Linked DNA regions of Lytechinus pictus. The main gene of each other region encodes a partner of the protein of the gene in region 3 in a complex. Links are inferred from orthologs where the notes say so. Each region holds a gene or a part of one and is shown on either strand. Other genes may lie near its edges.

Region 1 (7,212 bases), about 17 Mb from region 3:
TCATTACCCCATGGGGCAGGTACAGTTACAAGACAGCCCCTCAGGGCTACATTACCTCAGGAGATGGATACACCAGGCGGTATGATGAAATCGTCTCGGATATCCAAAATAAGACGAAATGCGTCGACGGACGACGTCCTCCTGTGGGCTGACACGATGGAAGACAGTTTCTTCCAGGCTGTTGAATGGCTGTCCAGACATCTGCGGCCAAAAAAGGGATTACCCTCAATCCTAGGAAGTTCACGTTCTGTGCGGATATCGTCGAATTCGCTGGCTTTGAGATCACCCCTGACAGCGTTCGCACATGTGAGAAGTACTTACAAGCTATCCTTGACTAAAAAAATATTCCTCTGATTCTTGGAATATTTTCCCAAACTCTTAGAATACCGGTATTTCTGGTATTTTCTGAGCCATCCAATATGATATAGATATTTATAATGATAATAATAATCCGTTTTTTATATAGCGCTTAATACATCGGAACGACGTGTCTAAGCGCTTTACAGATATATTATTACCCCGGTCATCAGATTCAATCAGTCATTTATGCTATTTGGCCTGCGACCGATCGCATGCAATGTTTTGAAATCGGCCGTGAATAATACGTGTGAGGAATTATATACTGGCCCAAAATCACCAATTTTGAGGATAACCGGAGGATGGACACGGAGTGAAATGAGGGTGTAGAGTAAGAAATTAAGCTATTTTTTTTCTATAATTTTTACAATAAACCACTTTTTGATCCCACCTTTGTCACTCGGAATATCCGATCGAGTTCACGGTCCCAAAGTTCGGGTAGGTGGAGCGTAGTGTAGCAGTAGTGAAGTGGAGCCTGCACAAACTTTGCCCGAGGTAGGGGGGAGATAGAGGATTATGTATTATGCACACTGCATCATTGGTGTAATCGTTTGTTCTTTTATGTGCACAGGGATCATGTTCATTGTTAGCTGCCATAGCACCTGAAGCTTCATAGCCCAGAGCAACAAATAGACAAGGGGCCTGTTGCATGAAAGGGTCTTTCGTAGAACCGTTCTACGTAAGAACGAGTTATCGCTCAACTGTTTCACAAAGCCGATTTGGGCGATACCAAGAATGGTCCTTGGAAAGACACCTCCAGAGACCAGACATGTCCTACGTAGACATGATCTTCTTTGCACACCGCCCGCCACCGTCGGCATTGAGAGAAAATGCGTTTACGGCAAGCCACACTGACATATCACATTTTTTGGGGTGTCATTCGATTGCAATCTGATGCATTTTATCTGGGATGGCGCCAACTTATTTTTTTATATGGGGGCTAGTTGTCATCAATTTCAGGTTGTCTTTTTGCATGGCAAGACGACCAAAAACGGATGTCATTTTAACTTATCCAGGGTATGTCCGGGGGTAATGTAGGCCCAAATATTTTTTTTAACATGTTTTCTTTTATTATTCGTCTTATCCCCACCCCTTTTCCATTAAAAAAAAACTTGAAATATCGAAATGGGCTGCACTATCTCTCTGACCCCTCATGCTTTCTCATTTAGTCCATTATATAAACAACCAGGGGTGTGAGTGGTCACAAATAAAAAGATCTGAAAAAAGCTGAAGAGTGTTGAAAAAGTCTGAAATAGAAAGAGCTCCCATACTTTTTGTACAGAGGAAGGCCAAAAATAAGCTGAAATTAAGCTGAAAATCAAAACAAAAAAAATCTGAAATGAGATAAAAATCTGAACTCTCACACCCCTGTAAACAACATAAAAACAATTTAAAAAAATAAAATTATGTATGCTAAAAAACGTGTTTATAACGGTTCAGCAATAAAAAACACAATACAAAACTAAGATGTTAAACATGCTAAATCATTTATTTATTTTTATTTAATTTTCATTATAATTATTATTTTTTTGGCTGAGATTAATTTTAATCAATGAAAATTAATTGTTGGATTTGGGCTAGCATGAGATGTGAAACAGGAAACAAAACAAAAATTCTGCAGTAACAAAATAGCTAATTGAATTTAAGATACAGATTAGGCTCATATAGCTTAAGAATCCATCACAATCATTACAAATGAAGATGAATTCATTGTACCTATAAAAGAAAAGATTATGGAAAGTCCATACCTAGAGGCGCATATTAAATAGTAGGGTAAGCCCTATCGGCCCCTATGTCATAATGTAGTCTCTACTCCTTAACTTTGAAATGTTGAACATATATATTTTTCATATTCTTAAACCTTATATTCTTATATAAACTTCCATAAAGTGATCAACTTTAATATGACCAACGTTTATGATCGTTGTAATTTTTAGCATTATTTCTGTAAATAGCATTTTTTCCATTGCGGATTGATTCACACATTTTTCTATGTTTTAATTATTATTGCAAAGCACTACTTTATCCACTTGGACATGTTTGCAGCAATTTTCATATTTTCCTTGTCTTCGGTTACTCATCATGCAACTGATGAGGTATGTGTACTCTAAACACTCACATTTGTATTTCTTGCGTTATATCTGACAAATAAAATAAATAAATTAGATTTTTCACACGCAGCCTCTCACATTTCTTTTTTAGTCTCATACAATCAGACATGTTGATTTTGTTTAATCCATTCAAACCCTATTTTTATCTCAACAAATAACATTTAACGCATGATTTGCAAAATTATCATTATAACTAAGTATTCAATAAAAATTCAGAATGTTGAACTAATACAATGTCGAAATTACTTAGTTAAATCAATTTTTATGTTGGACAAGGGTCTATTTCGTTGCAATATCAATGAAAGGTGTCTCTAAAAGGACATCATGTTCTAAATAAGGGAAATAATGAAAATTTCGATTTTATCCAGTTTTGTTTGTGAATCTTTAAAGTTTTTGTATCTTTTTACCTCATAAAGTAAGCTCCATAGTATACATCAATTCTACAATCAGTAATAAATAAAACATTATTTGATCTCCTTTTATTGAAATTTATGATTTTATGAAAAGTTGTCATTCCGAAATGAAACTAAAAGGTTCAGGTGACGATGAAGACTAAATATTTTTTCCGATACTATCGATATCAAACGATGTCGCGGACTTGGAAGACTAAATTGCCTTCGTGAAACGGAAACCGCTGATTTGTCGCCAATCTTCCTATCTCGGAAGAATGGTCCTAGGACGTTCCTACGTATCGCTCATGTCGTACTCGTCATGCAACAGGCCCAAGGTTCTTATTAATGCATATGGTTGGAACTACCCCTTAACTCCCACCTAATCTTCTAAGCATCTGCGAAAATATTCATCAATTTTACCCAGTTTTCGTCTCATTTGTGCAGAAAATTGAGCAGATCAGATTCCCATATTTCGCTCGGCGACTCCGATTCAATCCTCGTATATATCGACAAAAAACGAATACGACGATTTTACATTTGCTCATTTGCACCCGTCTTTTGAAACCGACCACCCGCGATACACTAAGTTTACGGCCGATTCTTGTCGCGGTGGCGAAATATTTTTACTCTTCCAAATCATTTCTATGATCATGATGTCAACATGCTAAATGATCGTCTCACTACTTCCAGTGCGAGCTCCGGCACATGATTTGATGATTGACGACGGGTATTTGTTCTAAAGCCGTTTCCTATCGGATTTCTTGGTTTTTCAGCGGGGTTTGGGTTTGGTCAATACAATTTTGATTAATTCTACTAAATTTTTACTTTTTGTTGCTTCTTTTTTTCTCGTAAAATCGATTCATACCGTTTCTATGGACACTGCGCCTACCCTCCCGCGCGTATCGTTTGTAATACGCAATAATTTTAACGCGCGCAAGGTGGTCGGTTTCAAAAGAGGTGGTCGCGATATGTGGTATTGGTAGTCTCACCATACTGTGTACAGCAATATATTTGACCCCCCCCCCCCCCCCCGCCCCCGGGAAAGATGAAAGTTACAAGAAAATTTAAGCCTTATAAGGAAAGATACAAGAAATTCTCAGAATACAGATTTTTTGGCCTTATCCTGAAATAAGTCACCTCTCTACTCGTGTACGTGTGTGTGCTCGCAGCACAGAAGGGTGATATATTCAACTTTCTAACATTCAAGAGACCATTTTGTATCACCAATGCGTGTGATTTTTGATGCACGAAAAGAAGCGAGAAATAACACATTTCTGTGATAATTGTATCCAAAGCACACATTAGCTAAATCGCGGGCCGCCTGCTTGAAGCGCAGCCGTTCATATTCGCACTTCGATCTTCTCAGGATCAGGAGGAGGAGTGAGACTTTGGGTAGCCAAGTTGCTCATTTCAGAATTTACGGTAAATACGAACTTTTCATTCCACCTTAGCCTTAACCTTAGCATTAACTGTCTTACCTTAAAAATCTGGTTTATCCTACAATCAGCCGAGCTCGAGGGACATGCAGTTTGAAACTCTGTCCTAACATCATCCTTTCTTGCGCTATGCTGCTGCGCTGCATGACCGGCCGAACGCACGGGCACGCCCCCTGCCGCCCGGCCCGGCTGGCTTGGTGACGTGAACACTACCACCGGGCCAGGCTCCAGAGCTAGGCGCTAGCCGGCCAGCCAGCCATGGCATGGGCGCGGGCAGGGCATGCATCGTGATCTATGTCCTATGAGTATGACATAGAAAATTGCATGGGCACACATTGAATAGGAAGGGTTTCCTGGCTGGAATAGATGTGGATTCTTCTCATTACGTGAGAACAAACCGACATGCTATGCCATGCCCATGGCCATGCCATGGCCACATAAGCTGAATTGTCAATTCGAAATCCGTCTCTTTACTTTAGACTTTATCGAGTGGAGCCTACAGAGTCAGAGTTTACTTCAGTGCCCAGGGACAGGGTTCAGCGGCAATAAGTACAGAGACTGAAGTCACTGAAGCCCAAATCATCCGAGACTGTCGACTGGGTATTTTATATAAATTTAGATATCTACCAAATTGATGGCAAGATCAAATGTATAGTAAGACTAAGACTAAGAGTTCAAAATTGATTGAGGAAAATGTGAAATACTAGGTCAAGGCGTTTCGCTGTCTATCGCAGTCTCAATATGCAAGTCGAAGAGTGTGAGCAGTATACCCAGTTGTTGTGTGTCCGGACGATCAATTTTAGAAAGTCATTTGGAAAAAATTACAAGCGAAGTTTCATCAATTTTTAGTACAAAACGTTAGGAAATATTATAAAGAACAAAACAGAATATGATTACAAGTATTGAATTCATATTTTTAGTGTAATCCACAGACAAAAAAGAAGGCTTCAAAAAGATAAAGTGTCCGGACACCCGACCCCCCAGCCTACTGGAAATGGTTGTTAAAAAAGCATGACATTAATTTTGTATGCTTTGGAGGTCTATAGAAACAAAAGACAAGCACAGGACAACAAATTTTGGTTAGTAACACATTTTACTCATAGTACTTTTTATAGACTATATAGGCCTTGATAGATCTGGCTCTCGGGCCTAGTAGCCTAGATCTATCTGCTCTGAAAAAAAAAAAGAATTATCGGAAAGGTGACAAATTTCAAATTTACTCGTATTATGTCAATATTTTTGTAGGAATTAAAACTAAACACCTACTTGAGAATAAAAAAATCAGTTTTAAAACAGCATAACTCAGGAACTTAACAATAACAGCAAACAACATATCAGGAACAGAAGACAGAGAATAACTAAACAAAGAGACTGGATCTGTAGTGTTGTATCTGTGTCTGTTCATGTATTAAAATACTCTATTTATACCTTTGGCCTTCCTCGGCCCACATCAAAATTGTTGCTACAGTAACAACATTGTTTAAATCATTATAAAAAACTAACCAATGAAATTAAAGAAAATAGAAGAACCCAACTGAAATGTAGTAATCCAATTCATTGTATAAACCAATGTACAATAAGATGAAGGTGATAAAAGATGTCTTGGTGATTATGTAATAATGGCATTAGAAACTAAGGAGTCAGGTGGGGGATTGAATGAGTGGAACACCTGAATAGAGAAGGACAAAAGAGAATCGGAGGAAAAGAATCCAATGTGGAGATCGGAGGATGAATGAAAACTGAATATAATTAATATACAAATAATGAATGTTTATGAGTGCAATGGACAGAATACTTCATGAGGTGAAAGATGAAATGATCGCTGAGTTGAATGGATCATTCATTTCATCTTTAACCGAATGAAGTATTCTTTCCATTGCACGATTGAAAAAAAAAATCATTATTTGGTTTATATGAAACCTAAAAATTTACCTTTTTTCATATGAAATTTATGAATTTCGATGCAAGAGTTCGGTCTGCTGATTGTTACATCATTACAACATGTGCACTGGAAACACAAGTAGTACGTCCCTGCAGCCTGCAGTCTCTGTGCGCGCGTGTAATGGACAAAATCGTATGGATCCAAAATTGCATGGTTGATGACGTAATAGCAAAATGGGCTGAATGAATGATATCAAACAACCAATCAATTCACAAGGATCTATCTAGGTGTCATATAAACTCAAATAACCTAAGTTCAGACTGCAAGGGCAGTGCTGAAAAGAAATGCAAAAGAACACAAGTCTAGACAGAACAGAAATGAAGAAAACACAAGTTAAAGAAAATGAACAAAATAGGAAAATTACAAAATAACCATCCTACATTTTCATGAATAGGCCTACTTATTTCATCTAAAAGAATTGACGTTTCAAGGTATAACTTTAGGTTAGGGAGTCTATTTTTGTGTTAGTGTATGGTAGTGTCAGATTCACAAGCCTTAAATGTTTTTTTAGAAGTAGATACTTAGTAAATGAACATAGACGAGATATCACATATTACGTTTGGACACACTGTCATACTAACCTAAAATAGATGTGTCTGCGATAATGTAATAATTCCTTTCTTCTTTATTTTTTTCATTTACAGACTCAAAAGTATGGCAGCTTTACCTGCAGGTAAACTGAAATGCATCTTCTTCAGTGAATTTCACCCACAAGCTGGACCTAAAATCACGTATCAGGTAGATCTACTAAAAATTTTGATAAGATGTTCAAACTTTCAAGAAATTAGTAGAACTGGGCTATTTTTTTTAACTGTATGCTACTGCATTGTACACTCACCAAATGACAAACACAGTCAGGGAGTCCAGGGAGAAACATGACACTTTTCATCTTTCAGATATATAACCTTGTAGGCCTAACTCTTAATATTTGGACTGAACAAAATATCTTTGTTTGTTAACAGACTATAGATATA
Region 2 (7,017 bases), on a different chromosome or scaffold from region 3:
TTGATGCAAGCACGATTCAAAATCTGTGATTTTCGAACCTAAAATATATTATGTTTTATTATTAAAAAAGGTATTTCTTTCATTTGGACAAAAAAATCTTATGGGGATTTTTTTTTTTTGGGGGGGGGGGCAAGAGAGCACAAAGCGCAAGCTAAAATTTTCAAATGCTTAAACTGAAAATGAGTCATTTTTAGGACTCTTGTCGTTTTCATATTTTTTTCTGCTTACAACCACTTTTATTAAACAGTTAATTAATCATTAATTATTAATACTTATCGATAATATTAATAATTATTAATTTTTAAATTATTTTTTGTTAATTATTATTTCTTGAAACCATATTGACACAAAAAAAAATACGTTGTTTATTTCCTTGAAACTGTAGAGAAATAAGATTCAATGTTGAACGATATATGATAAAAAAGAAGTAAAAACTTTTTCCCCTTTGTTTTGTCAATCTGACCCAAAACCAATATAAAATTTAGAAGAGAGATAGAGAGAAGAAGAAGTCCCACCACCAAGAATAAACTTAGACAAGGGGGGGGGGGGGGGGGAGGGAAAGGAAAAGATGGAGTAAATGTGATATTATTTTTTAAACAATCTATTGCAAAATTAGCTTTTCTTATAGAAAGAGGGGGACAAATTTTGTTCACTCGCTCGCTTCAATCGCTTTCTTCTTTTTTTTTGACAGAAATTTTGCTCTATATATGCCATGCTTGGCCCCTCATAGTTTCTGGCTCATCATGCCATTGACATAACCCATTTGGATATGACAAAATTGGAGACTGTGTTCAAGTTTACCAAATCTTTTCAGAATATCATTAAGACTTAAAACATTCTTGTTGGCCAAAGAAAATAATACAAGGAAAATTCATTCTGAGCAACGTGAATGCTTACGATCGGCACGGTCGAGGCCAAGTCCACTGCGCATGCGTACTCTCAATCCGAAGACGCAAGTCATGAATATTCATATGCTGCACGTACGTGCATAGCGCCAACTTAATGTGTTCCGCCATCTTGCTTGTTGGTTGCCGATAAAATGCGCATTTTCAGATTTTTTAACGCTCAGTTATTATCCATGACTGAAACATTGACCAATCAAAAACTAAGATTCTATAAGAAATATGAATATTCATATACGAAAGTAAAAACATAGATAATTCAGTGTTATGTGAAATTTAAACCCAATACTTCAAAATATGGTTAGTTTTATGTCTCTAAAATGACCCTTAAAACCAGAATTTTATTACTAAAAAATAAAGGTTTTCCCAAGTTGCCATGGTAACGCGGTCTGAGATAAAAAAGCTTAGCAAACACTTCATTTCAGTGATCGAGGATGTATTTGTTTACGGTATACGTCTACATAAATTATAACATTTTTTTCCAGACCATGGATGAACTTTCAAAAAGAGACATTTTAGGCAAGTTTTTACGATTTCCGGAAATTTTCTGACACAGGCACTTTGAAGAGGTAATTTTTACAGAATTAGAAGAAGACATCATGGATTTTCCTAATTATCACGACGGATATGCAACTTACTTGTAAACAAATCAAACAAAGTCTATGATACATTTTTGATAATGCAAAAAGAGACATTCAAGTCTCTGATTGAGAGCCGCAGATTGAACATTCGCACGGCGCAATGGTAGCGTTTTCGCCGAATTCGTCGGGGCGAAAACTCCAAGCGAGCCGTACCACTCACCAGTCCCGAACGCTGCGCTGTATGTTTGATGATTTATCTGGTGCCATTTCGTGCTTATAAATTAGTTTTTTCTACAATGCCACTATCTCATTAAAATTGTTTGTCATGATAACATTGGAAATATTATCGTTTAATGGCCCAAAGGATCGACTCTAATAAAAGATACTTTGAAATATTGTCAAAGAGTGATTAGTTAGGTGATGTTTATGGTCAGAATTTAGTCATGGCTTCGGGTGAACTTACGCGAACGCGGTCACTTGCTCACGGGGTGAGTCGGCCTGGCCCTTTGGTGGAAGGCCGTTAGGCAACGTGCAGTGCAGCTAGAGCAGAGTTGGGGAGTTATAGGTATAAAAATACTTTGAAATAAGTAATCTGCAAATATTTTTGTCTTATCCCTTTGGATTACTTAGATAAGAAATTCAAATTCTCAAAGTTTAAATCAAATTTTAGACAGTGACAACAAAGAGTGGTGCTGTATGGGGGGGGGGTCTTGCATGCCCCCAATTCACGAACAAGAAAAAAAAAGGAAAAGGTAAGAGAATCTTGCGAGATCGTTCAATTGGATTTTTGTAACCAAGAGTCAAAATTATGCTTATGTCGCTTGCTTGCAACTATATATTTTATAAATTTTGCCTGATACGCCATATCGTTTTACCCTCAATTATTTTCGCTTGTTACGGCTTACGCCACTGACTGATATAACATTATTTGGTTGCGGGATCAAAGCATCAGCTATAGCTAAACATTTATACTTTATGCCTGTTCAACTTCCAATACAGGTTTAGGCCTGTATTTATGAGATGTTAAGATCTATGGACGGTAGACAGCTGGCAGCCGTCTGTTTCGAGGAGTTTTTTAACCATTTTTAATTTTTAATTTCTCCTCGTACAATAGACAGCTGGCAGCCGTCTGTTTCGAGGAGTTTTTAAACATTTTTTATTTTTTAATTTCTCCTCGTACACATGTATTTGGTGAGTGGAGCCAACGTAGTTCAGCGGAACAACCAACATAACAGAGACCGAAGCTTTTGGTCTAGATATATGGGTGCCTTTATTATTTTCATTTTCAATTAAAACAATTATTAATTATGTATTAATTTAGTATTTACCTCGATGATACATTTTATTGTGTTAAATCGTACAATTTCTGTTATATTAAGCCCCTTATTAAGCCCTTTTAAAAACATGCTCAGTAGCAGACCCCCCCCATATATAAAGACAATAGAAGTGTATATAGAATTAATTGAACCCCCCCCCCCTATTGAGGACAAAATGAAAAAAAAAATACTCAAAATAATCGACCGCCCCCCCCCCCTTTGACGAGGCAGCTGTCGGTGGCCTGATGTCTTCATTGACTTTTTTTTGCTTGTAAAAATAATATTAAAGAAATAGGGGCTACTCTAAGTGTCCCCTGTGAAAATTGATCTGGATCTGCAAGTGCATGAGGCTGCGCCCTCTCCAACGTCATAGCTACCCCATATCTTTAGGTTCTAGCTCTCATATTTTTCAGCTCCCTGATTTTTTGGAAGAAAAAAAAACGAGGCGAAAGAAAAGAGTGAAATAAATGAAATACGATTAATCAAAATTTGAGTTGTTTTCTATACTTATCAGAGAAACTAAATTAAATTCTACAACCATGAAGAATAACAGCAATCTTGATAAATTCTGTTTTTTTTTCAAAATCAGAACCAATCAACCTTTTTCTGATTATTCTGTCACTTTCCATATTTTGGAGAAAAAAATAAAAGTGTTCATCGACGCCCTGTACTGCACGATGAAACTGTATCCCCACTCGGCCCTCGTAACCCCCCCCCCCTCTCTCTCTCTCTCTCCCTTCCCCCCCCCCCCCCACCACAATGCCCCTTGCTCATTTCTCTTATCTCACCTTGACCTTAATTAATTAATCTTAACTATTTGGCGGTACAGTCAAACGTGACTGGTCGCCATCATAGTTTCATCCCCAACAAACAAGGAACAAACAATAACAATTCTGTTTTTCCACCCAACATCATTCCTTTCAATACGCGTAAGGCTATACGTGGGCATGCACAAACAACGTGGGTTAACAAAAACTGACCCGCGTTTGGACTGAAATTGTGATTAAAATAAAAATGTTATAAATATGAAAAAAATATGTGTATAATGAAGGATATTTGATAAACGGAAAAACATCAATCGCTAATTCATAAAAATGCTGGAAAAGATTTGACAGTGGTTTTTAAGAACGGTAATCAAGGGGAATTAGTGTATGGGTGAATGGCGTTCGAGCTTTAGCCGAGCGTTAGCCGGTGAGGGCGCGGGCCAAATCTGGCAATATGGCGTCGTCCATTAAGCTGACGTTAGGCCAACGGCGACTGCACGTACGTGGCTGGTCCAGAACTCGGTGGGAAAAATAATTTCGCGCCCGGGCCTTGTTCTTTTCCAACACAAAAACACACATTTGGGACTATATTAGTATTTGTGTGAATCAAGAATATTAATGAAATGTTTTGTAACTGACAAAAACATTTTCATGAAATACTTATGAAAAAATGAAGAATGATGTGCAAGCCAGAAGAAATATCCTACCCTACGGCTACGGTATTGTACCTCGTCAAAAATTTGTGTGACTCGTAAGATCCGACCTGTTTTTCTCGCTTCGTATGCTGCCACATTTGTACCGCCTGCTGCATCATGTGTTTCTAGATCCTCGATCTTCCGAACATTATCGAAATTCAACGCGAGACAGTTTGGATCAAAACTGTGAGAAAAGCACACAACTGAAAAATGTCATCAAAAGTCACTCCTTTAAGTATAATATTGGTATCATCCGGATCAAAAGGTTACCGGTTGTTATTTAGATATCCATTTCAAGCAGAAAAACAGCAAGAATTAGTTAAACGAGGTAAGTGAAAAATAAATAACCAAGCTCCCATCTCACTGAGCTCAGTCCCACTCGTTGAAACCTGGGTCGGTTACTTACTCGATCGGTTAAATAAAAGACGGGGAGGGGGGGGGGGGGGGGGAGAAAATAATGAAGGAAGGAGAAAGAAAGAAACTTAGAATGAAAGAAAGAAAGGAAGGAAGGAAATAAATGAATAAAGAAAGAAAGGAAGGAAGGAAAGGAAAGGAAGGAAGAAAGAAAGACTAAAACTAAAAAAAAGAAACCTAAAATGAAAATTACTTGAAACTGAATGAAAGTTTAATAGTAATAATTACTAATACGGTACAGAAATTCCATAATTTCTGAAAAAGTAAGTTGCGGAGTAACTTTACAATCCAATGTCATAATGGATTATGAGAGCATGGATTACACACTAGTATTAGAACGAGGCATCATCATAGTCATACTTCAGCTCATGACATTGGATTCTAAAGGTAAGCCCAAAGTAGGTCATTGTTTGTTTGTGTGCCGCAAAATACAGAGACATAACAGGACCTTGCTCAGCTGTATGTCGCAAGCATGCACAAAGTATAGGTATACTCATCTTGTGTGTTAACTAATTAACATTGCTGCATGCAAGCAAAAATCCTTGAAAATTCATGAAATTCATAATGCAAGCCTATATCTATATGATCAGTATGCATTGTGTGTTGCACTGTGCTTGCTTTTTACAGCCACAAAGAATCCTCAACAAATGGGTTTCGAAAAATGATCAATAAATTTGGACGTTATCAAATGTTGAACCCCGGCCCCATCCCCCAAATAATGAGAAACGAATGTGAGGAAACTTGAAATAAGCTACATGTATCGAAATCTTTGAAAGAAAGAAAGAAAGAAAGGAAGGAAGGAAAGAAAGAAAGAAAGGAAGGAAGGAAAGAAAGAAAGAAAGTTCAAAAGAAAAAAATTATAATTTTTTTAACTGGAAGTGGTACGCTAGTGAACCGACCATTTTGTTTTCATGTGTAAGTAGATCGTATAATTTGTTATTGATATGAGGTTATAACTGATTGCATACTTTATGTACGCATACATTTGTTATATATATATATTTTTTATGTTGTTTATAAACTTTATATGGTGTACACTCATACCCTGAGAGGGGGTTGATAGAGTGAATTAAATATTATCTATCTTCTAAATCTTACACAATGTATCTATCTATCTTCTTAATCTTTGATGGATTTTCCTCAAACCTTCACCAATATTTTTTTCTGGTATTTTTACAACATGTTTTTCTTCAGGGCGAACTTCCCTTTTAAGTGCAAGCACCCTGTCACATCACCAGGGAGGTTGTGTCCAGGCTGCTGCCAGCGCCAGCTGACATTCCTAAAATTCCATTATGCCAAGTCCTCATGGTCAGATATTTTAGAAGTTTATTAACCCCTGTGTCCAAGCATGTTGAAATAAAGTTGACAACGTTGGACAGTTTTTAGCTTGTTTTCTCTTGATCTTGTGGATAAATGCTTGATTTGTTTATACACCCCCCAGATCTGTCAGATAATCCATTTGCACTTCAGACCCCCGAGGATGATCCGTATACTATCTCAACTAATCAGTCATCTACAAGACAGTCGTGCATTATATCTGGGTAGGTTTTTGTATTCTATTTTGGTTTGTTTCAGGTGGGGGCTTATTTTCTTACTTATGCTCATACAGTACATTTTTATCACATTCAATGGCAAATTTTGGGCGGCATTTTAGAGCTCAACAGTGCATTTTTACATTTAAGGGACAAATTGTGTGTTTTCTTATGTATTTACACAGCTATTAAATTGGGCAGGAGGGGGGGGGGGTGATAAGGTGCAAGATACTACCACGACGTTAACACATCAATTAGTGCTTGCTAAGTGTATGATTGAGCCATCTCCCCACCCCATATTATTCTTTCTTCATTTATTTTTATAACTTTAAAATCATTATTCTATCCAAGAACGATAAGGAACTGGAACAACCTACCCAGCTCAGCTATCAACACCAAAGGAATGTCCAGTTTCAAGGAGGCTGCTCTCCCTGCCATCAGAATGATGCAGCCCCCTATTGGATCCCATATGATTTAAAGTCAAAAGCTTGGTTTTTACTTGCACTCAGCATAGCATGTTTTACTGTACATATACAAAATTGCTATGTCTGTTCATCACCATTTCTGCACTTCATGACACTCCTTCCAGTGGCTCACTTTATTCATCATCCCAGTATATCTTCTGTATGAGCTGCCAAAGGGATTACTACATCAAGTATCAAGAGGGTATTTGCCTCCTTGCTCCTCACTGATGTAGAGCCTCCCACATAAATCAATCTTAAACAAATGTATGTGCATTTTTTCAAGAGTGTTCTTTATCCAGATTGTGAGAGATCCCTAATGAAAATAAGCTGAAATCAGCTAAGAAGTTAA
Region 3 (7,555 bases):
CTGTTTTGTGAAATGAAGTGAAACTTTAAAATGTCATATTTTACATCCGATTTTGATGACATTTTCAGCATTATGCTTGTTGGATTTTTCTCTTTTTATTCAAATCAAGTTATTGTTGGGGTGGACTTGTCCTTTAAAGGACAAGTCCACCCCAACAAAAAGTTGATTTGAATAAAAAGAGAAAAATCCAACAAACATAACACTGAAAATTTCATCAAAATCGGATGTAAAATAAATAAGTTATGACATTTTGAAGTTTTGCTTGATTTCACAAAATAGTTATATGCACATCCTAGTTGGTATGCAAATGAGGAGACTGATGACGTCATCCACTCACTATTTCTTTTGTATTTTATTATATGAAATAGGGAATATTCTATATTTCTCCTCCTTGCCAAGTGAAACAACGATTAATTCCTCCCTGAACATGTGGAATGAGCATTGTTTAATACTATATGATTCAGTCAAGTTGGTCCTTTTTGTCAAATCTGTAAAAAATGAAATATTGTATAATTCAAACAATAAAAAACAAAAGAAATAGTGAGTGAGGGGCATCATCAACTTTCTCATTTGAGTTGTGCATATCACTGTTTTGTGAAAAATAAGCAAAACTTTAAAGTGTCATAACTTTCTTATTTTACATCCGATTTTGATGAAATTTTCTGCGTTTTGCTAGTTTGATTTTTCCCTATTTATTCAAATCAACTTTTTCCTGGGGTGGACTTGACCTTTAAAGCTGAAAAAAAGAAAGTGATAACAATTTACATGTTTGCTTCATTTCACCAGGGAGTTGTGATGTATTTCACAACAATTATTTGAACATCCTGGTCGGCAGTGGCGTAACTACGGGAGGGGGGGGGGGGCACGTGCCCCCCAATCGGCTGACACCCCCCCCCCCCCCAACAAAAAAAAAAAAAAACAGGGAAAAGGAGAAAAAGAGGGAGAAAGGAAGAGAAACGTACTGGGAAAGAAGAAATTATTGATGTTTTGTTAAATTATAATTATGTTATGTTATATTACATAAGAAATATCTTTTTCATAACTTTATGAAACATTAACTCAGGGCCTATGGCTATGTCTTCATTGTTCCTGGTGCTCGCATTGTCTGTTTAAGAATATATTTAATCCTGTTGTACTAAAACCTCCCGTTTTCAAGTCAATATACACCAAATATATTTTTTCGCACTTCGAGATATTGTTTTATGCACAATAGTATGCTTCTTTTTCATGACTACTTAAAGCGATTGCCTAATTTTAAGGTCTTGATATAAAACATTTCCTGTCCGTGCTTACGTTCGCAATTAGTGGATTGGTGAGGTATAACTGCCCTCCATGAGTTCCTATAGAATCAGTACTTAAAATATCCCTTTTTCTGATCTGAATGTAAAAAAATTTCAGCTCGCTCTTCGTATAATGATTACACAAATTTGATTATAATGTCCATTTTTAGGTCTGAATATCCAAAGTTTTCAGTTCGGGCTTCGCGCTCGCAATATTTGATTAGTGAGATGCGTATAATGATGATTACAATTACTACAAGCATGACAAGTGCTTAATGCGTTTAGATGCAATACTAAAAAAATCAGCAAGAGCTTGGCAATCGCATTAGATGACTATGGTGAGATATGTATACTCTTAATGGATTCCTAAAATATAGTCCTTAAAATCTCCGTGTCTGAGGTCAATATATACAAAAATTTCAGCTCGCGCTTCGCGCTCGCATTGTTTAGTGAGACAGGTACGTATAATGATTACAAAAATTTTTGAGTCCCTTTTTAGGTCTGAATATCCAACATTTTCAGCTCGCGCTTCGCGCTCGCATTATTTGATCAGTTAGATACATATACGAAGCGCGCTCACTAAGTGGCTCAGAATTTTTGCTGGTGCCCCCCCCCCCCCCCCCCCCCCATGCCGTGACCCACAGTACGCCACTGCTGGTCGGTATGCAAATGAGGGGACTGACGACATCATTTTTTTTTGGTATTTTATATATTGAATATTGATGTTTCAAATTTCTCCTCATCGTCACGTGAAGCAAAATTTTCTCTTCTAAACATGTGGCATTGCCATGGTACTAACATTTAATATGTTCAGTCAAGTTGGTCTTTTATGTCAAATCTGTAAACATTGAAATATCGTTAAAACTACTTTTTAATGAAAGAAGAAGAAAGAAAAAGTATAAAATGAGGGACATCATTGTCTTTCTCATTTTACATGCCATTTTAAGTTGTGAATATAAAGTCTTCACTGTTTTTTTTTAAGTATTTGAATTTAATTTTACTATTTATAACCTGCACACAGTTTTCTGTTGCCAACAGCCCTGGTTGTAATGACAGATTGGAATTAAAGATGTAATAATATTTAACTAGAAAAAAGAAAAGTGATTAAGGAGTAATGAGATAGAATCAAATAAATGTGGAGAATAGGGAAGAAAAATGAGAGCCAAAGAGAAATGGACTTCGTGCAAATTATATGAAATCTTAAAGGTCAAGTCCACCCTATAATTTTTTTATTTGAATAAATAGAGGAAAATCAAACTAGCTAGGCTGAAAATTTCATCAAAATCGGACGTAAAATAAGAAATGTATGATATTTTAAAGTTTCGCTTATTTTTCACAAAACAGTGATGTGACATGCACACCTGGGATGCAAACGAGACAGTTTATAACCCTAACTCACTATTTCATTTGTTTGTTATTGTTTAAATTGTGCAATAAGGACCAAGTTAACTGAACCATAGTAATAAAAAAGCTGATTCAACATGTTCAGGGAGGAATTGGCCGTTGTTTCATTTGACATGAGGAGAAAATTAGAATATTTCACATAATCAAATGCAAAAAAAGTGGATAGTCTCCTCATTTGCAAATCGGACCAGGATGTGGAAAACTGTATGTGAAATTAACAGAAACTTTAAAATGTGATTAAACTTTCTTATTTAACATTCGATTTTGAGGACATTTTCAGTGTTATAAAATGTTGGATTTCCTTTTTTTATTCAAATCAACTTCTTTGTTGGGTGAACTTGTCCTTGACCTATCATTCTGAGTTCTATGAATTTGTATTCTGTACCATTGTTTGTGTTTGATATGGTTTGAAATAAATACTATACTATACTACTACTATACTGATCCTTAGTTATATTCATAATCTATTATAGGGCTAATAAAATACACGAAGGAAGTTCCAACCTATATAAAGTGAAAAAATGACCCAACAGAAAGATATAAAGAGACTGTTTGCATGGTATTGGAACAAACTATAATGGGCCAATACAAGAAATAGACATTTCTATAGCTTACGTGTACTTCCCTGCTTTGTTCTAGCAGGGATATGTGACCATTTCCTATGGTATTATACCAAGGAGATATAGAGTGATATCTCCTTGATTATACAGTAGGCCCTGTAATGACCATTTCATTTCTGCATTTGGATGTAGACCACAAGATCCCTGGAGGGATTTCTGGGCATGGGACATTGTTTATGTTGGATTAACTACTGGCTAAATCTTATCTGAGTTATCAATTATCTTCTCACTGGCCACTGGTAGCAGTTCCCCTGGGAGGCTGATTGACAATGTTTACTAGCCAATGGAAAGTGACTCTGAAAGGAGGAGGTGGGGCTTGATTTGGAGCGTGAGAATTGATTTTTGGAAGATTATGCAGACCCTGTATTGGAACAGCAAGTTTTGTATGTGCTAGTCTTTGCGTGGAGGCACACTTATTGATCAAAGTTCCAATCAGGGTCTGTGCCTGCAGACTAGGTATGGGAGGGGGCGCTTCCTTCTTTGCCTGTCTCTCTTTTAGTCAATGCAAATCATTTTTTTTTCTTTCTTATTACTTCTTGATTACATAATTATATTCTCTCTCTCTGTCTGTCTTACGGTTCAAAAGTAATATAACCCAAGAAAAAATATCTTAGGCTTACTGAGATAATTAGAATTGTAACTTATATCTATAAAAAAATATATATAAAAAAAAAAAAAAGGAAGAAGGAGACTGAATCACAAATCTAGTATTAATGCAGATAAGTGATGCTACACTGCAGGGGCCGCGGAAGCGGGGGGGGGGGGGGGCCACTTTTTTCTAAGACCGTGTACAAAAACGTAAAAATGACCATAGGATTGTGATTTTTGTATGGTCGGCCCCCCCCCCCCCCCCCCACTTTGAAAACCGTTCTGTGGCCCCTGCACTGAGAATCTAACTTGTTGAAATCTCTATGTACCTTGGTCACATTTGTTCTACGGCGGCCGTACGGCGAGTCGAAAACAGTCGTTGTATTCATTTTTATTAAACCACCTATATGTAGCTCGTACCAAAAAAAATGTTAAAACGGCTGTTTTCGACTCGCGCCGTACGGCCGCCGTGGAACAAATGTGACCAAGGTATTATTCATCATTTTTTTTGCATGTACTAGAATGTTGGTGTGTTGATCCTTATGATTTGATTCATATGATTAGAATAAATATAGAAAGAAATATAATGTATATAAATTTAAAATAAAAAGATAAATGAAAGAAAAAAAAATTAAGAAAATGCTTATCCTACTTGACATACAGTGTGTGGCAAAATAGTAAATCATGACTTATTGCCAAATAAAAACAAGTAATCATATGGAATGGAATGGATGGAACACTGCACTGATCTGAATACAAGCAAGCAGGATCAGTGAAAACCGGTACCACCAACCTTACCTATCACCAACCCGGCCCTACTCGGTTCCGGGTACGGTATACGGTCCCATTTTGCATGCAAATTGCCTATTTGATAGAAGAAGTCAAGCAGCTTTCCGCCACGTCGCTTTAGCTTTTCATGAATTAATTGTAAAAGTTCTGGGCAAGATGGTAAGAAAATTATTTATTCATATATTACATTTTAAATTGATGCATTTCAGTTCTAATGAAATACTTTGATATCAAGATTTTCAACGTTTTAAACCCAAAATAGCTCTTTCAATGAATAATTGTTCTGTGCTCAGTCCCGTATGTGTCAAAAGGTGTGGTGTTTTATCCTATGAAAGGGGGGGGGGGGGGCATGTCTGCGCCACTCATCATACGAACTAGACAGCTGGCAGCAATCTGTTTCGAGTATTTTTTTAACATTTTAATATTTTTAAAAACTTCCTTGTACACAGACGGCTCGCTATCGTGCAGCCACCATTATCAAAATCCCCCTGACGCGGCTCATCGATTTTTGTCTTTAAGTTTAGGCCTAGGCCTAGGCCTATTTCAAAAAAAAATTATAGCCTTTTATAGGGGGCCTAAAACGAAATGTACCAAAATAAAGATTATTATTTCGTTTCGGCCTGAAATGCACCAAAACGGAGAAAAATAACTTAAAAGGGGAAAAAACAGTGACTTACTTCGGCTGTTGCGCAACTTCACTTTCCTGTTTTATCTGAACTTATTTACACATAGGCCTATGGCCATTGTCCCTGTACAGATTGAGCTAGAACTTTGGTCTCTGTATTTGGTGAGTGGAGCCAACAGAGTTCAGCGGAACAACCAACATAACATTTCATCCAGTGCTCAACTCGCACCAATTGCTTAGTTTAAGAACTCATATATTCCACGCACCATCAAGGACTGGAATTCTCTACCCCCCGACATCCAATCAATCTCACTCTCAGTCTCCGATAACTTCAGAACACAGGCAACTATATACTTTCGCAACAAAGACTTAAGCAACAAGGACTAATAAGAAATGAAGTGTGCACTCCCAATTCCTCCTCGGGTGGTTCCTAATAGTAATAAGGATGTTGAGGAGTATAATCAAGAAGAAGACCGAAGCTTTAGTTTTGGTCTACACACGAACAAGGTTATATAGCCAATATAACCTTGTTCTCGGCAGCATACTGTAGCATGGACAAAAAAATCAACTATTTTCCTCCCCATCCCTCGCCCCAAGTATCACAACCTGATCGAACTAGATCTGTGAATACTTCTAAGATTAGTCACTAAGTCAGTGATAAAAATTAGGCCTGGGATGAATGTCATTTTTACCATTCGATTATTTCCTGAAAAAACAATCAAATTATTTGATTGTTCATCGGAAATCACATCTTTTAAGTCACAATAGTTCACCTACTTTATGGTGACCTCCCGAATGAAGAAATCTCCATCAAAGTCACATGTTTATCATAAATGAAAGTAGGCCCTCTTCCCCCTTCTCCATGATTTTCAAAAGAAACTACATGAAATGAGATTAAATCTTTCAGTTTATTGTTCCAATGAAAATCTTTCCTAAATCAATGCTGGTACCCTGGTATTAGGTTGCATTGTTTTGAAACATGAAATGAATTCTCTGGCTCCCTCTCCCCTATCTTTCTCTCTCTCCCTCACACACACACAGATGGGGAGGGGTCAATTTATTTCTGAAGTCATGACCTTTCCTGATAAGGGAACGCATGTGGCTTCTTTGTTTCCCAAAAAGTTTCATTGGCTAATAGAAGGTCCAATCAGCTCAAGTGAGCTGGTTGTGTGTTTACTTTCTGTTTTGAGCACGCAGACAATGACTTGTATTGTGTATCGAGGGCAAGGCCGGGTTGGATTAACATTTTCGGAGCTCTTTCAGGTCGGAGTTTAACTGTGAATGTGATACAATCATTGATCAGTTTTGACAAATTACCTTGGTAACATCATTTTTAAACCTGTATCAAGTATTCAAAAACCATTGTCATCATAGTTATCCTGTCATTTTTTTATTATTACTTGGGTATTTGAGTTATCCCAACGTCATAATCGGGATCTGCCAAACATTCGGTCAGTGTAAAATTTGCTAATCGATTGGCGATCGGTGGCAAGCCATTCGATCAATCGATGTTTACTCCCAGGCCTAATAAAAATTAAATTAGATAAATTTTCACAATTTTTTGTTTCTCCTTCAGGTTTCTGTAATCAGTACTGTGGATACAGCTCATGAAGATATGATTGTAAGTCATTTTATATACCTTTAGTTTAAATTTTTTTGGATAATAGTATATTTGCACTCATGTATTTGCTTTGTAACTTGATCTTTATTGAAATGCCAAATAAGATAATAATGATAATAAGAAGAAAAGAATAAACATTAGATTAAGTAAGAGACCTGGGGCCTGTTTCTCAATACCGGGACAAGTTAGTTGTATTTCTTTCCAACAACCACAGAGTTAGCGCCAATATACAATGTACTAACACGTTTCACAAAAGGCTTATTGCGTGTATTACTAGAATCTCTCGATATCGATTCTATTGGCAGAAAGAGCTAATGAGACGTAGCCTTATGCCCAGTTGACACATGCAGGTATTGTGGTGCCCGCAATTCCCTGCATTGATGCGTGCCAGTGCGGGACACTTTATGGCACGACTTGGATATATCAGTTCACGCATTGTCCTGACACGTTCGTAACATGTTTGCGCGTTGTTATTATTATTATTTTGTTTTGGCGTCACCTGTGCCTGGGAGGCGAAAAGCGAACTGAATCACTATGACCCGCAGGTCTCTCCTCCCAATATAACTGATTGGGGGGGATGTATATAGAATGCGTATAGTTCGCGCATAGCTCACGCAGTGTTCGCGTA
Region 4 (7,919 bases), on a different chromosome or scaffold from region 3:
AGAAACGTGCCCTTAGAATCATTTTTGGAGCAGCATATTCTTCATATGAGCATGCTTTACTCCAGTCAGAACTGATGTCTCTTGAAGATAGATGGATCAAACTCTTTGTCTTGCGTTTGCGAAGTCTATGCAAATCCCCACGTCTAAACTGTATCACCTTCTACCTCAAAATAGGACTTGTCAATATCAGACTAGAAGCTTGGCCGGAACAGTAGAGATGCGATGTCGAACTTCACGATATAGAAATAGCCCCTTGCCCTCGTTGATTCGGCACCTTAAAGAGAAATTCCAGTAGTTGCAGTAAACACTGTTTTCATGAGAAAGTCTGTAAAACAAGGCTTAATTGTCATTAATCATCGAGGATCTAGATCTGGTACAGTTACATAAACTGAACTTTGTGAAATCTTGAAATCTACGCTGAAAAATGTTCAGGCTGAAGATCCCCAACACAGATAAGCGCACGTGGGACAGTGTATAATTATTGCTTCGAATGTCGGGCCCGACGCTCTACCCGAATCCTGTGCTTATTTGCTGATTTCTCAGCAATTACACAATTTCTTCCAGAATCCTTTGGCACATATGTTTTATTTATACAAACAGACACTTTGGTGGTCATTTCATTGGATTCTGTACGAACTCATTTTGATATCGTTACCAAAACTAGCATTTACCTTTAACTCTAAAAGAATTGATTACAAGGAGTAGTTTTTTTTGTATATATCTTCCCCTATCGTTACATGTATAATAATATCAAACTACGAATGGCTGAGAATTAAAGAACTCATCATTCATTGGACTCTTAAAATGTGATATCATTAAAAGATTGTTTTTTATAAAATGCAGATTACATACTAATTCTAATGTTGAGTTCTCTTTATGTTGGCGAACTCAAGTTTCATTTCATTTCATTTTACTTTGTTAATCAAAATATTTTTCTTTCATATATGAGCAATTATTCACTGATATCTAGTCGTAAACTTAATATTTGAATTGAAGTCATAAAAATTGCCAAAATATGTATTATTGCAGCATATTAGATTATCGTTTTTTCCCAAAGTAATGTAATTCAGAACTTAATATGTAAATGTGTTTATTAATTTCTCTTTGTATATATGTTTAATCGTTTTATGATTTCTGTATACAGTGTATACTGAATCATTTATTTTTATTATTATTTATTTATTTTTATTTTTATTTGTTTATTTTTTATTCATTTGATATATATTGTTTATTTCTTAATTTAATCTTATTTTTTATTCATAAAATTTACTTATAAAAGGGGGCCTTCACCCTGCAAGCTCTGCTTTTTAGTTGGTCTCCTTCCCTTTCGATTTCATGGTATTATTGTATTATAAAAAATGATTTAAATGTTATATTTTGTAAATATGTATATTGAACTATCATTGTAAATGTAAAAAGATTGAAAGAGAAAATAAATGAATTGAATTGAATTGAATTGAATTGCTTCTTCGCCCTTTTCTCTCTGTTTCCCTTCCACCATCAATTTCTTCTCTTCTCTCTCTCTTTCTCTGCCTCTCTTCTCTCTTCCACTATTTCTATTCCTTTCTGCTTTCCAATTCATTTCCTCTATCCACTCATATTTACATGTATTTTGAATATTTTTCATTTTTTTTTATTGATCAGTGAGTATCAATTTAAATTTATTTATGATATACTTTGTTACATATGTCTATATTGAAATTTGTTCGTAGTACTATAAGTTTTTTTTACCTTGTTATTGATGATTTTGTTTGAAATGTAAATTTTCGCAATTCGGCTTTTGCCGCAAAGAAAGGATTTTTAATAAACCATTTTGAATTGAATTGAATTTACAGGTCAACATTAAAGTTTATGTGCAAGGCTCTTATGACAAGTGTTATTCCATCCCAGTCATTTCACAATGAAGTTTCAATACAATTATGTTGTGTGCCCTCGCAAATCACGATATTTCTGGTTATTTTCATGAGTGGGCGAGACACAATCACTGTTGCCATGTTTTATTCTAGAAATAGTAAGCTTAGTAATAGTATGAAAAAAATAATTGAAAAAAGCTGGCCCGATTTGTCCAGGTCAGAAAAGGGCAACACAATGTTTGTTCAGGCCTTAAGTGAATGCATTCATACAATCTACCATGTGTTTGGGAGTACATGTTTAAATAGCAAATCAGCGTTCCTATTGTAAGGTATCTACTGATTAAAAAATATCTGTAAAAAATTTAAGAATTCTGTAAACTTGTTTTTTTACGGAAATGTGTAAATTTACATGGGAATTTTGTAAAAGTACGGTAATTTTACGGAAAAGGAATCCGTAAAATTACGGATTAAAAAAAAAAATTCCGGCAGCAAAATTTCCGGACAAATTTTTTTTTCCCGTTAATTATTTATACGGAATCATGTTAATTCACGTAAATTTTCTGTAAAATTTCCGTAAATAATATCCATATTTTACATGGGAATTTGTAAAAGTACGGTAATTTTACGGAAAAGGAATCCGTAAAATTACGGACAAAAAAAAAAAATTCCGGCAGCAAAATTTCCGGACAAATTTTTTTTTTCCGTTAATTATTTATACGGAATCATGTTAATTCACGTAAATTTTCTGTAAAATTTCCGTACATAAAATCCGTATTTTTCATGGGAATCTGTAAAAGTACGGTAATTTTACGGAAAAGGAATCCGTAAAATTACGGACAAAAAAAAAAAATTCCGGCAGCAAAATTTCCGGACAAATTTTTTTTTTCCGTTAATTATTTATACGGAATCATGTTAATTTATGTAAATTTTCTGTAAAGTTTCCGTAAATAAAGTCCGTATTTTCAAGAATTGTAATTTACGGAATCTTGTATATTTTACAGAACTTTTCCATAAATTACCACTTTCTGTAAATTTACGGAAAAAAAAAAAAAGTCCGGAAATTCTGCTGCCGGACTTTTTCCGTTAAAAAACGGAAATTTTTCTAACAGTGTAATTTCTCTTTTACTTCCCTATAGCTTCCTTTGATTGTGTCGGGGGGGGGGGGGGTCATAGTGGTGCAGACCCTTGGTTTTCGCAATTCGCATAGTGCATAATGCAGAGTCTGAGTAGTGAGACTAGATTCACTATGTTCTGTGGCTGGCTCTACCAAGGAGTCCGACACAGACAGTCCCCGATTCAAATAATTATAGGCCTCTCTACGTGATTCTATTATTTTTTGTTCCATTATCAGAAAAGGAAAATAAATATCGATTAAAAAATTGTTTTTTTTCCTGATAACATTGCTCAAAATGCTAGACATCTCGATACTGGTTATGACCCCCTTAATAGGCAGAGGTTATGACCAAGGTTAACTTCTCTTCCCCTTTTTTCTTCTTCCCTTCAGTTTTCATTCTTTTGCTTCTCATTCTATATGTATTTTCCCTTCCCCTTTTCTTTCTTCTCCCATTCTCTTAATTTCTAATCTTTTAATTTTTTCTCAGTATCTTTCCCTTCAGTTCCTTTCTTTTCTCTCCCGATCCCTTTTCCTTCTCTCATTATTTGATCTCTCTTTTCTTTATTTCTTCCTCTCTCCCTTTACTTTCTTTTCCTTCCAGGGTCAGTGATCCTGGGGCCGGGGGGGGGGGGGGCACAGTGCCTCCACCTTTTGAAGCACTGAAAAAGTGCCCTTTGTTACGCAAGAAAATTGCCCCCTCACGAACGTGTACTGTGCCCCTTTTACCTGAGGAGGACCTTTGTTAGGTGTTACCAATTAAGTGCCACTTATTATAAGTGCCAATTCTTATAACCCCAAAATGCCCCCTCTCGAACGTGTTCTGTGCCCCTTTCACCTGATCGAGAAGGGCCCGTTTTATATGCATGTGAGCATGCATTTGCCCCCTTGCAAGTGCCGTTTCTCGAATCAGTGCCCCATGTACGAACTTGTTCTGCGCCCCTTTCACACCCGTTTTATGCTGTTAGAAAGTTCTCAAAGGTGCCCTTTCTCATCTAGTGCCCCTTTACCCAAGAAAACTGCCCCTCACGAACGTGCTCTGTGCCGCCGGGCTCTGTGCCCCTTTAATTGCCTTCTTATAGGTGCCCTTTCTCTTATCAGTGCCCTTTTTTAACAAAGAAAAGTGCCCTAGCTTTTAACAACGACAGTGCCCCGGGCTCATGCACGAACGTACTCTCTAGCTTTGGGAGCTGTGCCCCTTTCACCCATTTTATGTGTTATAACAATCGAGTGCCCTTTGAAAACAATAGGCCTATGTTCTCATTTTTAGACGTTATACTTTAGTGAAGGAAAAAAACATTTTGGTGGGTAGATAAGCAGTGGTTTACATATATTGGGGGCCTGCGGGCTTTAATTTACTGCAATGAAAAAAAAGGAAAAGGAAAGAGGAAAGGGTAATAAAAATATGATATTATTTTCTGAATATTATGTCAAAATATATCACAAAATGTGATATTCGTTTGAAAAATGTCAATTTTGTTTATCTCTCGCTGCCTAATTTACATGATACGATATAGGTCCTTTATTCTAGCCCCCTCAATTTTTTTTGGTCATTACACCACTGTAGATAAGTCGTATTTTCTATGTTTCAAGATAGTGCCCTTTTCGAAAGAAAAGGTGCATGCCCCTTAATTTTTCCTGTGCCCCCATTTCACTTCACTCCGCCGCCCCTTTCCTTCCCTTTTGTCTCTCTTAATTTTCCCATTCGTTTTCTTTTCTCGATCTAGTCTTTCATTTCTTTTCCTTCTTTTCATCTCTTTCTCCTTCTTAATTTTCCCTTCCTAATTCCTACTTTCGGCCTACTTTTCTCCCTTTCTTTCTCTTCTCGGCCTATATGATATATTTTTTCTCTCTTTTATTTTAATGAGTTTTCTTCAGTTACTCTTCATTTTCGCGATAGCGATACCTCGAAATCATCGAATAGTCTATTTTTCTCAGACTCGAGTAGCTTAGATCAAGTGCTGATATTTTAGCTGAACTTTTAGTTTATTATTTTAATAATCCGACTTAGTATACAAACATGTCACGAGGGACTCAAGAAAGAGGTAACGTCTTTTAGAAAGGATTTGAGTTTTGACTTTGATCGGGAAAATATTGATGATGATGATTGTGTGTGCTGGACCTAACGTTAGAGTCTTAGAAGTTAGATCTATTTTTAGTTGGGTTAAATTTCTAAGTTTAGTCCCATGCGTTGAAATACGTGTTAGTATAATGGGGTGTCCAAAATTCGCGGACATTTAAAAAATATTCATCTTCTTCTTTGGGTATACTGCCCAACGCCCCACAATGGGATTTAACCGGGCAGATTGCCTGTTCATCAGGCTAAATAAGTTAATTCGTTCACAATATATTCACAATTTATTCAAAATCAATAAAAATAGCTAGGCCTACCAAATAAGCTTGGTAAGCTGTAACCCAGAGAGCTCCCGCCCGCGTAGCGGGCGGGAGCCCAGAAGCTTACCGTGTATTTTACCATTGTCACCGGACTAGGGTGATTTATGGTCTAAATATTTCTCCAAATGAATTGTGAAAACGGAAAGTATACAATTACCACGATTATATGGATGAAGGTCTAACGAGTGGCAGATTCCTGACATCTGGGCACAGTCTGGAACCTCAAAAAAACGAAAAGTTCTCTCCTTCTACCCAGTCTCGATCGGCCATTTTGTTACGATTTTTAACAAAAATGGCCGATCGAGACGGGGTAGAAGGAGAGAACTTTTCGTTTTTTTGAGGTTCCAGACTGTGCCCAGATGTCAGGAATCTGCCACTCGTTAGACCTTCATCCATATAATCGTGGTAATTGTATACTTTCTGTTTTCACAATTCATTTGGAGAAATATTTAGACCATAAATCACCCTAGTCCGGTGACAATGGTAAAATACACGGTAAGCTTCTGGGCTCCCGCCCGCTGCGCGGGCGGGAGCTCTCTGGGTTAGGTAAGCTGTAGAGTGTAGACAGCTGGCAGCCGTCTGTTTCGAGGAGTTTTTTAACATTTTTTAAATTTAAATTTCTCCTCATACACAGACGGCTCGCTAGCGTGCAGCCACCATTAGGGGACTTGCAATGCAAAATCTCCCCGTCGGGGCTCTTCAATTTTTGTCTTTAATGAGTAAAAATTTTGAAAATTCACGCGACCAAAATGCAAATTAATATTCCCTCTTGGCATCAATTGCCAAAAAACCGAGAAAAATCAAGTTAAAAGGAACAAAAACAGTGACTTACCTCGGCTGTCGCGCAAATTCACTTCCCCGTTTTATCCGATCTTATGTACATAAACATATGGCCATTGAGTCCCCTGTACAGATCGCGCTAGAACTTCGGTCTCTGTATTTGGTGAGTGAAGCCAACGGAGTTCAGCTGAACAACCAACATAACAGAGACCGAAGCTTTTGGTCTAGGTAAGCTGTAATTATAACTATAAGCAATTTTTTATCGAATAATGTACATACACTTGCACGCTGCACTTCACCAGTACGACAATACACCAGACGGTGGACTGTACTACTGTTTCCAGAAGAAGAAGAAATACAAATTGACGGCAAGACCATAACCTAAAATGATTGACGAAAATGTGAAGTAAAGTTAGAGTCTAGATTTCGCCGGTAATAGTCAAAATTTATTTCTATTCCGAATCCGATCGACGAATGCGCGCTGTGCAGGAAATACATTCTAAAAAAGTGTGACCTAACATCGTGGACCAAAGTTTTGAGGAGATTTAAACAAAAACTCGAGCTCAAAACTAAGGTGAGATATTTCAGATGGAAGTCAAAATAGAATCGGTCAGCATGGTCAGTTGATACCTGCTTGCAAAATGATGATTAAAAAGAAATTGATATCGTGATGGACTGATGCTTGTATAACTTGACAGAAGTTCAGATTTTTTCGGAAAGGTCACTAACGGTTACAAATTTTCCAATCTTTTGTCAATATTTTAATGAATTTATCCTAAGTTATGCTGAAGGGTAATTTTAAGTTGCTTTTCATGCATGCATGTTGATGATGTCAGATTTTAAAGATATTAAATAGTTTTTGAGATAATGATCGTCCGCAAAGTATGGACACGTGCAAAGTTGGACTCACTGCCATATTTGTAGTCTGTAGAGCAAAAGACCTGTCAATTTTTATTGCCAGCATGGCTTTGGCCTGGCATGCATGATGCAGCAAAGCTTGACAGCCAAGACAAGTTCTTGCAACTGCAACTAATACTGACTATCCTATCTGAACATGGAGAAGGCTCGCAGGGGTACCTGCCCCAGTTTTATTTTTTCTTGATGATTTTTAATTAATTTATTCTATGACAATTCATTCCGTTCAGGTATAGGCCTAACGTTAGACTTCAAATTAAAAGATCAGCAAAAAGGTGTTTTTCATCAATGACCTTAATCAACCGAAAAGTTGAGACTTGGAGTACCATATTTTAAGGACTAAATTTGTTAATACAACACAATAAGTTGTTTATGTAGATATACATTGTCTTTATTATTTTTTGTTTATACTTTTTAACATGTTTACTTCTATTTTTGTAAATAGGAAGAGCTTTTAAGGGTGAGTATGTAATTTTTGGTGGAGGTTTCGCTGGGTGTTTGCATATATATTCAAATGGCATGGTAACATAATAGGAGGCATGGCTAGGACTGATCATTTTCCAAGTTTATCTTTGCATTACTTAGAGTGTTGCCAATTTGATATAAGATCTTGATTGCTCTTTATAAGAAAAATGAAAAATAATCATACCTCAAGTTCAAGTTTATTTTTTCCATTTCTATTATCAACATACCTGACAACGGGGCCAGGCCACAATTTGTGTTTTGGCCAGATTGATTTATTAAACTGCAAATCAGAGGGAGGGGGGAGGAGAGAACAAAATCTACATAAACTAGACTCATTTTTAGTACAGCAGAACTGTGCTTTCATTCATTGCCAGAAACGTTTTTAAAAAATGACTTAATTT

What was found.
Region 1: protein SEC13 homolog (region 3) and GATOR1 complex protein NPRL2-like share a complex: the UniProt entries of both Drosophila melanogaster proteins name them as parts of the GATOR complex. The link is inferred for Lytechinus pictus from reciprocal best matches to the Drosophila melanogaster genes Sec13 and Nprl2.
Region 2: protein SEC13 homolog (region 3) and GATOR1 complex protein NPRL3-like share a complex: the UniProt entries of both Drosophila melanogaster proteins name them as parts of the GATOR complex. The link is inferred for Lytechinus pictus from reciprocal best matches to the Drosophila melanogaster genes Sec13 and Nprl3.
Region 4: protein SEC13 homolog (region 3) and GATOR2 complex protein WDR24-like share a complex: the UniProt entries of both Drosophila melanogaster proteins name them as parts of the GATOR complex. The link is inferred for Lytechinus pictus from reciprocal best matches to the Drosophila melanogaster genes Sec13 and Wdr24.

What each region holds. Positions count from the first base shown.
Region 1 is NC_087247.1:42,698,944-42,706,155, reverse strand, and holds the start of GATOR1 complex protein NPRL2-like, read left to right. Parts: upstream 1-4,190; 5' UTR 4,191-4,282; intron 4,283-4,504; exon of another isoform or gene 4,505-4,601; intron 4,602-4,775; exon of another isoform or gene 4,776-4,896; intron 4,897-5,216; exon of another isoform or gene 5,217-5,375; intron 5,376-6,882; 5' UTR 6,883-6,892; coding exon 6,893-6,976; intron 6,977-7,212. UniProt on the Drosophila melanogaster protein: An essential component of the GATOR subcomplex GATOR1 which functions as an inhibitor of the amino acid-sensing branch of the TORC1 signaling pathway.
Region 2 is NC_087254.1:36,127,428-36,134,444, forward strand, and holds the start of GATOR1 complex protein NPRL3-like, read left to right. Parts: upstream 1-3,998; 5' UTR 3,999-4,468; coding exon 4,469-4,586; exon of another isoform or gene 4,587-4,639; intron 4,640-6,113; coding exon 6,114-6,213; intron 6,214-7,017. UniProt on the Drosophila melanogaster protein: An essential component of the GATOR subcomplex GATOR1 which functions as an inhibitor of the amino acid-sensing branch of the TORC1 signaling pathway.
Region 3 is NC_087247.1:59,274,094-59,281,648, reverse strand, and holds the start of protein SEC13 homolog, read left to right. Parts: upstream 1-4,555; 5' UTR 4,556-4,837; coding exon 4,838-4,840; intron 4,841-6,882; coding exon 6,883-6,927; intron 6,928-7,555. UniProt on the Drosophila melanogaster protein: Functions as a component of the nuclear pore complex (NPC) and the COPII coat. At the endoplasmic reticulum, SEC13 is involved in the biogenesis of COPII-coated vesicles.
Region 4 is NC_087257.1:16,500,867-16,508,785, reverse strand, and holds the start of GATOR2 complex protein WDR24-like, read left to right. Parts: upstream 1-4,900; 5' UTR 4,901-4,984; coding exon 4,985-5,009; intron 5,010-7,498; coding exon 7,499-7,513; intron 7,514-7,919. UniProt on the Drosophila melanogaster protein: An essential component of the GATOR subcomplex GATOR2 which functions as an activator of the amino acid-sensing branch of the mTORC1 signaling pathway.